3 linked regions of the Canis lupus familiaris genome follow. The protein of the gene in region 1 interacts with the protein of each later gene in a pairwise test. Links are inferred from orthologs where the notes say so. Each region holds a gene or a part of one and is shown in the gene's direction. Other genes may lie near its edges. The genes, in order: PITX1, MGAT5B and ZBTB32.

Evidence for each region.
Region 2: the proteins of PITX1 (region 1) and MGAT5B interact in a two-hybrid assay, tested with the Homo sapiens proteins (2 studies listed by BioGRID). The link is inferred for Canis lupus familiaris from reciprocal best matches to the Homo sapiens genes PITX1 and MGAT5B.
Region 3: the proteins of PITX1 (region 1) and ZBTB32 interact in a two-hybrid assay, tested with the Homo sapiens proteins (2 studies listed by BioGRID). The link is inferred for Canis lupus familiaris from reciprocal best matches to the Homo sapiens genes PITX1 and ZBTB32.

Annotation. Positions count from the first base shown.
Region 1 is NC_049232.1:23,086,851-23,091,102, reverse strand, and holds the start of PITX1 (pituitary homeobox 1), read left to right. Parts: upstream 1-1,509; 5' UTR 1,510-1,601; coding exon 1,602-1,767; intron 1,768-4,003; coding exon 4,004-4,236; intron 4,237-4,252. UniProt on the Homo sapiens protein: Sequence-specific transcription factor that binds gene promoters and activates their transcription. May play a role in the development of anterior structures, and in particular, the brain and facies and in specifying the identity or structure of hindlimb.
Region 2 is NC_049230.1:4,783,628-4,786,863, reverse strand, and holds the end of MGAT5B (alpha-1,6-mannosylglycoprotein 6-beta-N-acetylglucosaminyltransferase B), read left to right. Parts: intron 1-93; coding exon 94-350; intron 351-845; coding exon 846-1,044; 3' UTR 1,045-2,345; downstream 2,346-3,236. UniProt on the Homo sapiens protein: Glycosyltransferase that acts on alpha-linked mannose of N-glycans and O-mannosyl glycans.
Region 3 is NC_049222.1:117,766,119-117,770,370, reverse strand, and holds the start of ZBTB32 (zinc finger and BTB domain-containing protein 32), read left to right. Parts: upstream 1-1,162; 5' UTR 1,163-1,262; intron 1,263-4,252. UniProt on the Homo sapiens protein: DNA-binding protein that binds to the to a 5'-TGTACAGTGT-3' core sequence. May function as a transcriptional transactivator and transcriptional repressor. Probably exerts its repressor effect by preventing GATA3 from binding to DNA.

The DNA of each region.
Region 1 (4,252 bases):
CAAACTTCACTGTCATAGGAGGATTCCAGAAGGGGATCATTCTCAGAGGTGGGGAGGGGCCGGGCGGTGTCTGCCCCCAGGAGGCCTCGGCGGTGCTGCCGCTCAGCTACTGCTGTGTGAGAGAGAGAAGCTCAAAGGCGGTAGGCTTCCTGGACTGCGGACTCCGGGCTGGGAAACTGCAGGCACCTGGCCTGCTCGCGAGGCCAGGTGCCTGCAGCTCTGGAAAGCCCAGAGGAGGCCCCAGATCGCTACAAACCTGCCCTGAAGGGGGCAGAAGCCAACCCCCTGGCTGCCAAGGCCGGGGCCTGGCTGATTCGGCTGGACTGGTGCAAAACAAGGGAAGAGAGCCCTGCAGAAGAGGCTGTGGGGCCTGGCGGGGCTCTCGGGGTCTCCTGCTGCACTCGCCAGAGGCCTGGAGCCAACAGAAACGTTTCGTCTGATTAGAAGCCATCAGTTCAATCCCAATCCCGGAAAATTGACTGCGGTGCAGAGGGGGAGGCCAGAGAAGCAGCCTTGGACGACAGGGTCCAAGCTAATTAGGAGGCAGCATCCGGGGGCCCATTAGAACGCAGGCTGCTGTCACTCAGCCGGGCTCAGGTCCCGGGAGAAGAGGCCGAGGAAGGAGGGGCCAGCGGCCCCCCGACGGGGACGCCGCCGGGAGCTGCCGGAACGGGCCCCGGGCTCTGCCCCCGCCCTGGCGCTGGCTCGGAGGCGCCCGCTCCGTGCGATCCTGCCCCGGGAACATTCTCTCGTCCTGGGCTGTTCTCGCCGGGGGCTGAGGACTTCGAGGCGGCCCAGACAGGAGTTGATTCTGCGCAAAACAAGTCATCTGGGGCTGGAGGTGGGCACGAGCCGCGCGGGACTTGGAGACCAGATGCGTTTCTTTTGTGCGGCCGAGGGAGAAGTCGGTGTGTCAACGGGGAAGGAGGGAGCGGCGCGGCGCGGCGAGGCCGCGGGGGGTGGGGGGAGGGGGCGGGAGGCGGCGGGAAGGTGGCTGCGGCGGGGGAGGGGGACGGGAGGGGACGGGAGGGGGAGGGGGAGGGCACGGCCGGGGGAGGGCGGGCGGCTCGGGGCCGGATTCCGCCCGCGCTCCCTCGCTCGCCGGCTCCCTCCCTCCCTCCCTCCCTCCTTCCCTCCCTCCCTCCCCCCTCCCCAGCCCCCTCCCACCCGGGCCCACCCCACCCACCACCCCTGGCGCAGGGACTGCTGGAACCTGGCGGTGCGCGCTGTCGCTTTAAGACAGCCTCTGCCGGCGCCGTACGGAGCCTTAGAAACCGGCCCCGGATCGGGAGCCGGAGCCGGGGCCGGGCGGGCGGCAGAGGCCCGAGCGGCGGGAGCGCAGCGCGGAGCGCGAAGCCGGGGATCCGGTCGCGAGAAACCGCTGCCGCCGCCGCCCGCCCGGCCCCGCAGCCCCGGGCGGTCCATGGGGCGGGCGCGGCGTCGCTGCGGGCCCGGGCAGCCCTGGGGGGCAGCCGCTTAGGCGCTGTGCTCTTGTCCCCGCAGGTCGCAGCCAGGGCGGCCGGGCGCGCCCGGCCCCGGCCCCGGCCCCGGCCCCGGCCCCGGCCCCGGCCCCGGGAGCGCCCGCCGCGGTCCCCGCCTCCATGGACGCCTTCAAGGGGGGCATGAGCCTGGAGCGGCTGCCGGAGGGGCTCCGGCCGCCGCCGCCGCCGCACGACATGGGGCCGGCCTTCCACCTGGCCCGCGCCGCCGACCCCCGCGAGCCGCTCGAGAACTCCGCCAGCGAGTCGTCCGACACGGAGCTGCCAGGTAAGCGCGGCTCGGCCCGGCGCGGGGCGGGGAGCGGGGCCTGGCGCCCGCGCCGCACGCTCAGGTTGCCCGAGCCCCGCGAGCTCCGGGACCTCTTCTCCCGGCCTCCGTCGGACCGGGAGCGCGGAAATCTGCGCGCTTGATGAGACGGAATTCCGTGCTCTGCTCCCAGCCGGTGCCCACGCGCCCAGACCCCGGCAGATGCAGGCACCGACCACGGGAGGGTCGGCCCGACAGCCCCTCTTGATCGGGAGCAGACGGAGCCGGAAGAAAAAGAATTCGGTTTGCGCAACGAGTGCCCAGGGGGCCGCTCAGACCGCAGGACAGTAGGTGGAGAGAGGAACGGGGCGGCGGGCGAGAGACGCTGCGCAGGGAGACGGGGTCACACACCCCGACAGGCGGTGGGCACGGATGGAGAGGGAGAAATCCAAGAGAAGGGGTGGCGGGAAAAGTCAGAGAAACAGACTGCGGGGAAGGGGGGACCACCTCAAGTAAAAAAAAAGAGGGCAGCGAGGGCGAGCGGGCCAAGAGGTGCGGCTCAGCTGGCGGGCAGGCCCCCCTCGTGGAGGGACCCGGGAGCCGCCAGGCCGCCCGGCCAGGGCCCGGCTCGGCTGGGGCGCGTCTCCCTCCGCGCCGCCGTTTTGCCCCCCGAACTCAGGCTGCTCCCCCGCAAGCTGGCCGCGAGCGGGGCCGGCGGGTGGGCGGTGCGGGCGGTGGCGCGGCGGATCCTCGGCCGCTCGCGCCCCCGGGTCTCCCGCTCGGATCCCGCGCTCCCCGTCCCGCCGGGCGCCCTGTTCCCCGGGTCGTGGGCGCCTCCGCTGTGCTTTTTTCTTAATCCACCGCTGAGTGTTTCTCTACGCGTTTTTAATCTCTATTTGTTTCTGTTTTGCATCTCTAAGTGACTTTCTCTGAGAGGTTCTGTTTGCTTGGCTAAGAAAAGCAATCCACGCTGGACTGTACTTTTGTTTTCAAAAGTTTGAAGCGTGGCCTTTGGTTGGTTTTTACTTTTTAAAATCTGGAGAAATATACAGCGAGCGATTGCTTTTTAAAACCAACTCCGTGAGGATATATTAAATTTTTTAACTGTGTTTTTCGATATAGAAAGAATCACTACGCGAGGCATATTTCTCTGGAATTTAAAACATCCACATGCAGCATTATTCTTGGAGATTTTTAAAAGTCAATCCAAAATGGCGCGTTTCTCCGGGATTTTTTTTTTCAAAATCCATTTGCAGCAGTGTTAGTTTGGTAATTTATCTAACTATAGTGTTGTATTTCCCTGCGACTTAAAGACTATCCCTAGAAGGGCATTATTAGGAAGGGGCTAAAAAAAAATCTATCTACAACAGTACATTAAGTTGTTTTTTTTTTTATCCCGGAGAAATAAATGCCCGCGTCTGCCTGGAGTTTATACGCGTACAGCACTGTATTTAGTTAGGGGTCTGTTTGCACGGAGGTTTCTTGCTTCTTAATTTGCATTTGCTCTGTGTTCCTACCTGCCTATTTTTAATAGTTTGTGAGCCTTTCCATGGTGTTGGGATAGAATTGAGTTTATCTGGGCTTCTGTATTTTGTTTTTAATTTTTTTGTTTGTTTGTTTCAATGTGTCTATGACTGAATGTGTTTTGTGTACCCTGAGAGAGCGAGAGGCTAGAGCCCCAGGTCACCTAGACAGAGTGTGTGGGTCTGGGCTGCCGCCTGAGGGCTTTTCTGGGCCTCTGGACTTGAGGCCTGGAGCTAAGGCTGAGAACACAGCTGTGTTGTGCCTGCCCAATGTGGCTCCCACACAGCCCTGGGGAGAAGAAAGTAGAGGGGCTGCAGGTTACCGCCTGGCTCCTGCTCCACCGACCCACTGGCTTCAGGCTAGCCAGATTTGATATCAGTTCAGAAGAGCAGAGACACCCCCAGATTTAAATGCCTAAAAGCCCTCAAAATTTCATACATTTGCGGGCGACATAGGCAGTAGGGCTTGAGCCTGAGCCGAGCTGCAAGGGCAGGCCCTGCCCAGTGGGGAACCTAGGCCGGAGCCTCGGGTTCCCTGGCTCTTCGGGGCCGTCCGACCAAAGGTGACTAGTGAGGATCAGGCACCCGACAGGCTCTTTCCAGCGGGAACAAAACTAGGGTTCCTGGCGGGAGGAAGGGCCGCCAGCGCTGATGGCTGGCGCTTCGGTGGAGCCGGGACGGGGTGCGAAAGGGCATAAACCCAAGGTGACTAGGGCCTGTCCTGCCCGATTCAGAGAAGGAGCGCGGCGGGGAAGTCAAGGGGCCGGAGGACAGCGGTGCGGGAGGCGCAGGCTGCGGTGGCGCGGAGGACCCCGCCAAGAAAAAGAAGCAACGGCGGCAACGCACGCACTTCACAAGCCAGCAGTTGCAAGAGCTGGAGGCCACGTTCCAGAGGAACCGCTACCCCGACATGAGCATGCGGGAGGAGATCGCTGTGTGGACCAACCTCACGGAGCCGCGCGTGAGGGTGAGCCCAGCGTGCG
Region 2 (3,236 bases), on another chromosome or scaffold:
AGGCCATGCGCCCAAGTGTCAGCCGGTGGCATCTGGGTCCCATTTCCCCGTCTAATGCTGCTTCCCCCCCACCCCCCACTCCCCGCCGGCCAGGACTTCTGTGCAGCCCCCGGCCCTGCCCCAGGAGGGGCCCGAGCCCCACAGAGCCCCTTCGTCCTGGCCCCCAATGCCACCCACCTGGAGTGGGCCCAGAATGCCAGCGTGGCCCCCGGGGCCTGGCCCCCAGCACACTCCCTCCGGGCCTGGCTGGCCACCGCCGGGAGGGCCTGCACCGACGCCTGCCTGGACCATGGGCTGATTTGCGAGCCGTCCTTCTTCCCCTTCCTCAACAGCCAGGACGCCTTCCAGAAGTAAGTGAGCCCCCCGCCCGCCCGCCCACCTCCTGGGCTGACCCAGCCTTGCTCCCCTGCAGCTCCTCGCCCCGTAACTGCCCCGTCACCGCCCTGCCAACGGGTGGAGGGGGGCTGATGCTCTCCTGCGAGTCAGGAAGAACCCAGTAGGGACCACGGACAGGTGTCCATGTCACGGGTGCCCCCCCACCCCCCCACCCCGCACCGTGGTGAAGCTTCGGCCCCAAACCACCAGCACAGGAGCCGCTGCCAGTCCCTCCCCGCCCCCCCCCCCCCCCCCCCCCCAGCCTCTGTCGAGCCTGTCTGGGCATCTCCTAGGTCCAGGCCAGGAAAGCGGCCCAGGGTTCCTCCCAGCCCAGCCACCCCCCGTCCCCCTCTCCCCCAGCGGGGATGCGGCCCGGGGTTTGTCCTGCTGTCCCCTAGAATCATCTTCCCTGGTTGGGGCCGGGCGGGGCCGGGCTGGGGCCGTGACCGCCGCCCGCGGTGCCCGTCCAGGCTGCGGGTGCCCTGTGACAGCACGGAGTCGGAGATGAACCACCTGTACCCGGCCTTCGCCCAGCCCGGCCGCGAGTGCTTCCTGCAGAAGGAGCCCCTGCTCTTCAGCTGCGCGGGCTCCAGCACCAAGTACCACCGGCTCTGTCCCTGCCGAGACTTCCGCAAGGGCCAAGTGGCCCTGTGCCAGGACTGTCTGTGAGGGCACCCACCCGTCCGGCCCTCCCTGCCGCGGAGAAAGCACCAGCAGATTCTGACCTCCAGCGCCCTGCCCTCCCCTCGACTCCTCCCACGCTGGAGCTTCCTTCCTTGGCCAGGAAGCGGGCAGAGCAGATACTCGCACAGGGCACGGGCCCAGGGCTACGGGCCTTCGCCCACCCGGCCGGGCTCCTCGACCTCCTCCCGGGGCTCGTGGCAGCGTCGTGGCCAAGCGGCTGTGGGACCCGTCAGAGGGCCGCCCCGGCAGGAGCAGGTGCTCGGAGGCCCCTTGCTTCCGTGCCAGCCGAGTTCTGGACCAGACTGACGCCCTGGCCCTTCGTAGGCCCAGGATGGGGCTCCAGAATGTACGAGGAGGGAGCAGGGGCAGTGCCCGCCCGCCCCCGCCCCCACCAAGGGTCTGGGGAGAGGGCAGTGACGTGTGAGGGGTCAGCCTCATCCCTCTATGGTTGTTTGGGGCGTGGACCAAAAGGACCAGGGAGTGGGGGAAGGCCAGGCGGGGTACCCTGTTCCTGCCTCCTCTCAGCCCCCCCCCGCCTTTGCAAAATCCCCCTCCGTCCTATATTGGGGAGCACAGCGAGAGTGTGGGGACCACCTAGCCCCCTGGGTTGAACTCTTTCTGTCTCCTGCTTGCTCCAGCTCTCTCCACTTTGGGCTTCTCCCGAAACTCATCCTGGCATGACTGCAATTCCAGGCCGTGGATTTGTCCCCAGAGCCTCTGTCCCCACCCCAGCAGGCTTGGGAACCCGCACACCCCCTCCCCTCCAGCGTCTCTTGTAGGCAAAGGCTTGGGATGGAGCTTCAGCCTCGTGGCATGCCCAGCCCAGCTCCTGGCTTCCCAGGCCTGCTTGCCCCCAGGTAGTCCCCCCTCCGATGCTGCCCGTCCTTTGCCTCAAGCTTCCTCCAGCCTCAAACCACCTCTGGACCCACCCATCATCTCTGTGTGGCATGCCTGCCCCTGCCCCATGATGTTCCCTTCCCCTCCTCCCCCTGCCCGGAGCCCTGCCTGGTTAAGCCGGTGGGGCCTTCAGAGACACTGCCACCCCACCCCCGTTTTATAATCCCACCTCCCGCCCCCACCCAGGCCTGCCCCTCCACCCTGCCGGGAGCCCTGAGAGCTGGGAGAGGGGGGGAGCCCATCCAAGACCGCCCCCCTGTGGCCACAGGAGCTCCATGGCCACCAGGGACCTGACCTGTCGGGGGCAAGCAATAGAGACACTCTTTTCTCTCTCTCTCTTTTTTTAAAGATTTATTTCTTGAAATAATAAATATTTTATTGGGATGTGAGGTGCAGAGGAGGAGCGTGCTGTTTCTCGTCTTTTCCTGGGATGCCCAGGGCGAGGGCCTGGCTATGTTGGGGCCCCAGGCCCCTGCTGCCCCTTGTCACTTGCTGCACACAGGGTGCTTGGGGCCCCAGAGCTGGCGCTCTCTGGGTCAGGCTGCGCCGCACTGAGACTCTGCACCCGGCTCTGTTCACCTCGGCCTGGCCTCTGGGAGGTCAGAGAGTAAACATGTATTTTGATAAGAGCCTGAGGCAGATCATGAGAAATACTAGCTAACGCTTACTGGGTCTTTGCCGTCCTTCAGACACGGGGCAGAGTGTTGGCCACACAATTTGTCATTTTTTGTTGTTCAGCTGTCTCATCAGGTAGGTACTGTTATATTCCCATTATTATTTTTTAAAATATTTTATTTATATATTTATGAGAGACACCCAGAGAGAGAGGCAGAGACACAGGCAGAGGGAGGAACACGCTCCATGCAAGGAGCCCGATGTGGGACTCGATCCCAGGACCCCAGGATCATGCCCTGAGCCGAAGGCAGAAGCCACCCAGGTGTCGCTTACTGTTGGGTTTTAAGAGTTCTTTGTGTAGGAGCCTACTTCTGGATCCTGGCAGGCTTTGAACTCAGGTGGGGTGGAGGCGGAGGGTGTGGGGGCACCGGCTGGTAGGAAGAGAAGAAGCGGACCCCAGGAAGGCTGTGGGTTCTCAGCCCTCCCCCACTGGACGGCGCCGGGCCCCCCCCTTCAGCGAGCTGCCGCCCACCCACCACCGAACATCAGAGGCAATACAGGCCCAGGCCCACCTCCCCCCACCCTGCAAGGTGACGTCATCCTGCCCGCTTACAGGTGGTGGAACTGGTGTGATGAAGCCCCTCACAGCCTTGGGAATCACCCAG
Region 3 (4,252 bases), on another chromosome or scaffold:
TGGGCTCCCGCCTCCCGGCCTTCGGATCAATCAAGCAAGCCCCTGGGCCAATCAGAAGTGGAAGCGGTCGAGCAACGCCCGCCTCCTTAAAGCGCCCTCGCTCCTCATTGGTTGTGTCCGAGCGCGAACCCAAAGCCCTTGGAAGAGAGAGCGGCCAGCCAATCAGCAGCGCCGCCGCAGCCCGGCTCGGGGGCTGCTCCCTGCCCCGCGCGCCGCGAGCTCGCCGCCTGTCCGCACCAAACCCGGCATGAATGGGAAGCCAGCTGGCTGAGCTCTTAGCCCTGGCCGGTTCATGGCGGGGCGGAGCAATGGGCCATCCTCTCCACGTGTGTGTGTGTGTGTGTGTGTGTGTGTGTGTGTGTGTGTGTGTGGCGGGGGGGGGGGTGGCTAGTACGTGAAGTACGCAGTTATCCCTGGCTCAGCTGACAGGCAATGAGCATTTGAAGCGCGAGCATCTAGACCAATCGCGGGTCAAGGCACTGCCCCCTCTTGCGCCTCCCTCGTCCCCGCATACTTCCAGGTGAGGCGGGGTGCGTTCTGCAACCAATCAGTGGTGGGCAGGACAAGAGGCGGGAAAGGGGAGCTGCCCACAGGCACCCCGAAGCCTGGCCGACTCTCGAGGGCCTCCCGACCAATCACAGACACACACTGCATAGACTGTCAGGGGTTGAGAGAGAGGTGAGAGGGTGTGTAACAGAGCTCGTCAGGGTGCCAAGACAGAAGCAAGAAGGCCGTTGAATCCTGAGCCCTTGCGGAGGCAGCTTCCAAGACTATTGAGGCCAAGGAGGTTCCGGGCCAAGTCTTTCCAGAGAGAGGGTGGGAAGGGGCAAACTCCGCAGCCGCTCAGCAGGGGAGGGGACAGGCTGGAGGGTGAGACCTCCGCCTCAGAGACCTGAAACCCAAGCCCACCGACCCATCCCCATCGGACTCAAGGCCCCGCCCCTCGGCAGAGCCAGGGGGGCGGGAGGGAGCTCCGCAGCCAATCGGCGGGGGGAGCGGGGCGGGGGCGGGGGCGGGGGGGCGGAGCACGGGGAGCTGTCCGAGGTGCCTCCGAGGATGCTGGGCATGCTCAGCAGGAGGCGGCCGGCGGCAGCCAATCGGCGTCCGCGGCGGAAACCAGGCGAGACCCGTGAGCTGTGCACGCGCAGGGCCTCGAGCTCCGGGCCTCGCGCCGCTCCCCACTCGCCGCTCCCCAACGGCCACTCGAGCTAGAGCCGCCCTCGGTGTATGTGACTGTGGGAGGAGGCACAGGGCCCGAGTCGGTGAGTGCCATGGTTTCTCTTACGCTTCTTCAGGCCTGGGACTGGCCCAAGCCAAGCTGGGGTGGGAGGGCCGGAGCGGTCGTCGTGAGGGTTGAGAAGCGAGAGTTGAGGACTCTAGTCCCCGGGGACTCCCTTTTCCTGGCAAGGATGGCAGTGGGGCCTCCTGGGCAGGCACCTTTGGACCCGGGCTGGGGCAGAGGCCAACATGCCCTGGGTTGGTCCACAGTCCCTGAGGCTGACTTGATTTGGAAGTGTATTGTGTGGCCGTGGGAGGCCCTTGGAGCTCTGCGTGGCTTCGTTGGCGGTGAGGTATGGCCTCTGATCGGTGACAGGTTGCCTGAGGTCTCTGGCCTGAGTCTGGATGTGGTGACTGGAAGGGGAGGCCTGTGACTCTCCAGAGGTTATGGGGGGGGGGGGGGGCGGGGCATTACTGGCCAAAAGATGAAACTAGTGTGCTCTTGGGAGATTTTCTGGGGTCTTTGGATCCAGCCTGGGCTGAGAGAGTTGTCGAGATTGGAAGTCCAATGGGCAGTTGTCAACAGCCATTGCACCCAGGCTGTGCTAAGAACATGCAGCTGCAAGGTTTTGGGGGTCGCTGGACTCTAGGTTGAGGTGCAGATTTTCCACTATCAGGTCCAGGATAGACAACTTGGCCAGGAGGTTAGGCCCAAGGTCTTCTGGAGGTTCTTGAGGAGGGAGTTTCTGAATCTCAGGTTGTTTGCCCTCCATGAAATATTATTGCCGTGTGGCTCTAAAAAAAACCAGGATTGGGTCATATTAGGGCCTTTTGGTCTGCTCTTTCTGAAACCCTGGTCATTCTCAGAAGATACCAGGCTGTAAGAATGGAGCCAGATGCATAGGGAAGATGGATCTTGTCCTAGAGCACAGGAAGAGGTGTGTGAGATTTCCTGCTCCTTAGGAAATCACCCAGCTTGTCATTACGGAAGATTTTTTTTTTTAATTCTTATGGGACAGGGTGTTGATATCTAATTTCACTCAGCTGGACAAGTTCTATGTGGTATTGAAGCTTTCAGAGTGTTTTCATGTACACCCAGAATTCTTAAACCTTGGGTAGGGGGGTGCAAGGGGGAGTGGTCTATGAGTGGATTTAAGGGTTTTGGAGCTCCTGGAAATCACAAGAAAAACTATATGCATGTTGTATTTGGGGGGGGGGCATGCAAAGCAGCCACAAGGATAAACAAGGAGTATCTAACCTGTCCAAGGACTGACTCCAGCCTGTGAATCCCTTGTATGAGTATCCACAATTTTCTGATGTAAAGAGTTGATTCTGTGGCTTACAATTTTAAAAGGGATGGTGATCCCCTTAACCTATGTTAAGAGCCATTGGAATAAAGCTGGTTCCTGTATTATTCATGGGGCTGAGGCAAGACTAAAAATGAAAATTTCCCCTTTTCTTCCCACACCTGGTGTTGGTGCACATTTCAAGGCATCTCATAGATTAGTCTGCATGTCTGAGCTCAGTCTACCTGTTCCTCACACACAACTAGGGCCTGGGGTGTGTGTATCGGTTTCACAGTTCACCCTCCTGAATATAGACCCAGGGTTGAGGGCTGTCCTGGAAGGAGGCCATTTGGGTGAGGAAGTCCAGGGTTCCAAGTTCCCAGAGCATGGCCTAGAACTGGGGGACACATGTTCCCAGTGGGCCCTTCCTCGATGCTCTTGGGATCCTTGGCCCAAGGGGGGACCACAGCCAGAGGGGGTCAGAGCAGGTTTAACACAATATTGGCATTCAGTATTGCTCTTGAAAGCAGTCCCTGTGAGGAAATTGAGGATCTTAGAAGAGTTAGCCCCCGTATTAGGACTGAAAAGAAAGGCCACCCACAGAGAGGATGTAGTGGAACCTAAATTGTTTTACTTCTAGTCTAGTTCTTTTTCCACTTCATCCACAAAAGATATGCTATGATAGGGTCTCTATGACCTAGCTGCAGCTCACCTGGCTATAATTACACTGGTTCTTAAGTTATATGAAATACAGATTGAGGGGAAGAAAGAAACTAATTTACTCCGTGGTATGTATCGGTATGTGTTGGATGTACTTCACTAGAAAGAGTGGGCATTTGAAAGTTTAGGTAAGATTTGGATAATTGGTCTTCATCTGCATTATAAAATGCTGTGGGGACTTTAACCACTTTGATTTGAAGAAAGAGATGCATTCCTGAAAAAAGTGGAAAGTTCATATAATTTTTCTAAATTGAATCTTTTTAAACTTGACTTTGGAAGTAGTATCTGAAATAAGTGAGATAAAGGGAGAACATTTGTCATAAAACAAATAATCACCCCGCTAATCAGCCTATTCTGTGGCTTAGTTTTAATTATATTTAAGGAGAATCCATAATTGTATTGCTGCGTTGACATTTTTATATCAAGCTGAGTTGTACCTGCAGGGGCATATGAAGGAGCTCTGGTCAAGCCTATGAGAATAAAAAATACCAGACATTAAACTTTATTCAGTAATATGAGTATTAGGAATGAGGGGCAAAAGTCAACTCTTTTTCCCACATACTTTCTTCCAGGTATGCCCTATCTAGTCTTTCCTATCCACTCTACCTTCCCAAGATGCAGGTTTGTGTCCTCAGAATCAATGGTTTCCTGAGTCCACCCCAGGAGACAACTGCAGGTGATTCCTACAGTCAGCCTGGGAAGTAGAAGGTGGACAAGGTTTTTGAGACTGTGATGGGGGACTTCTCAGGAATAGAAAAGAGTTACAGTGTCCCTACCCTTCCAAGTCAAAGTGCTACTTGCTTGTACTTCTGCTGTCACTGCTGAATGCTGAATGCTCTTGCATTGATCTGGCTTGAACTATGTAGTCAAGAATGTAGGGAGAGAGAAGGGCCTACAGTGTCACCAGCCTAAGGGCTGAGGGATAGATGGCCCTGGAGGAACCTCTAAAGAAGCAGTCTCTAAAACAATATCCTTAGGTGAGGTAGACACTAGGTAGGAGGCAAAAATAGGGTTTCCTATTCTTGGGA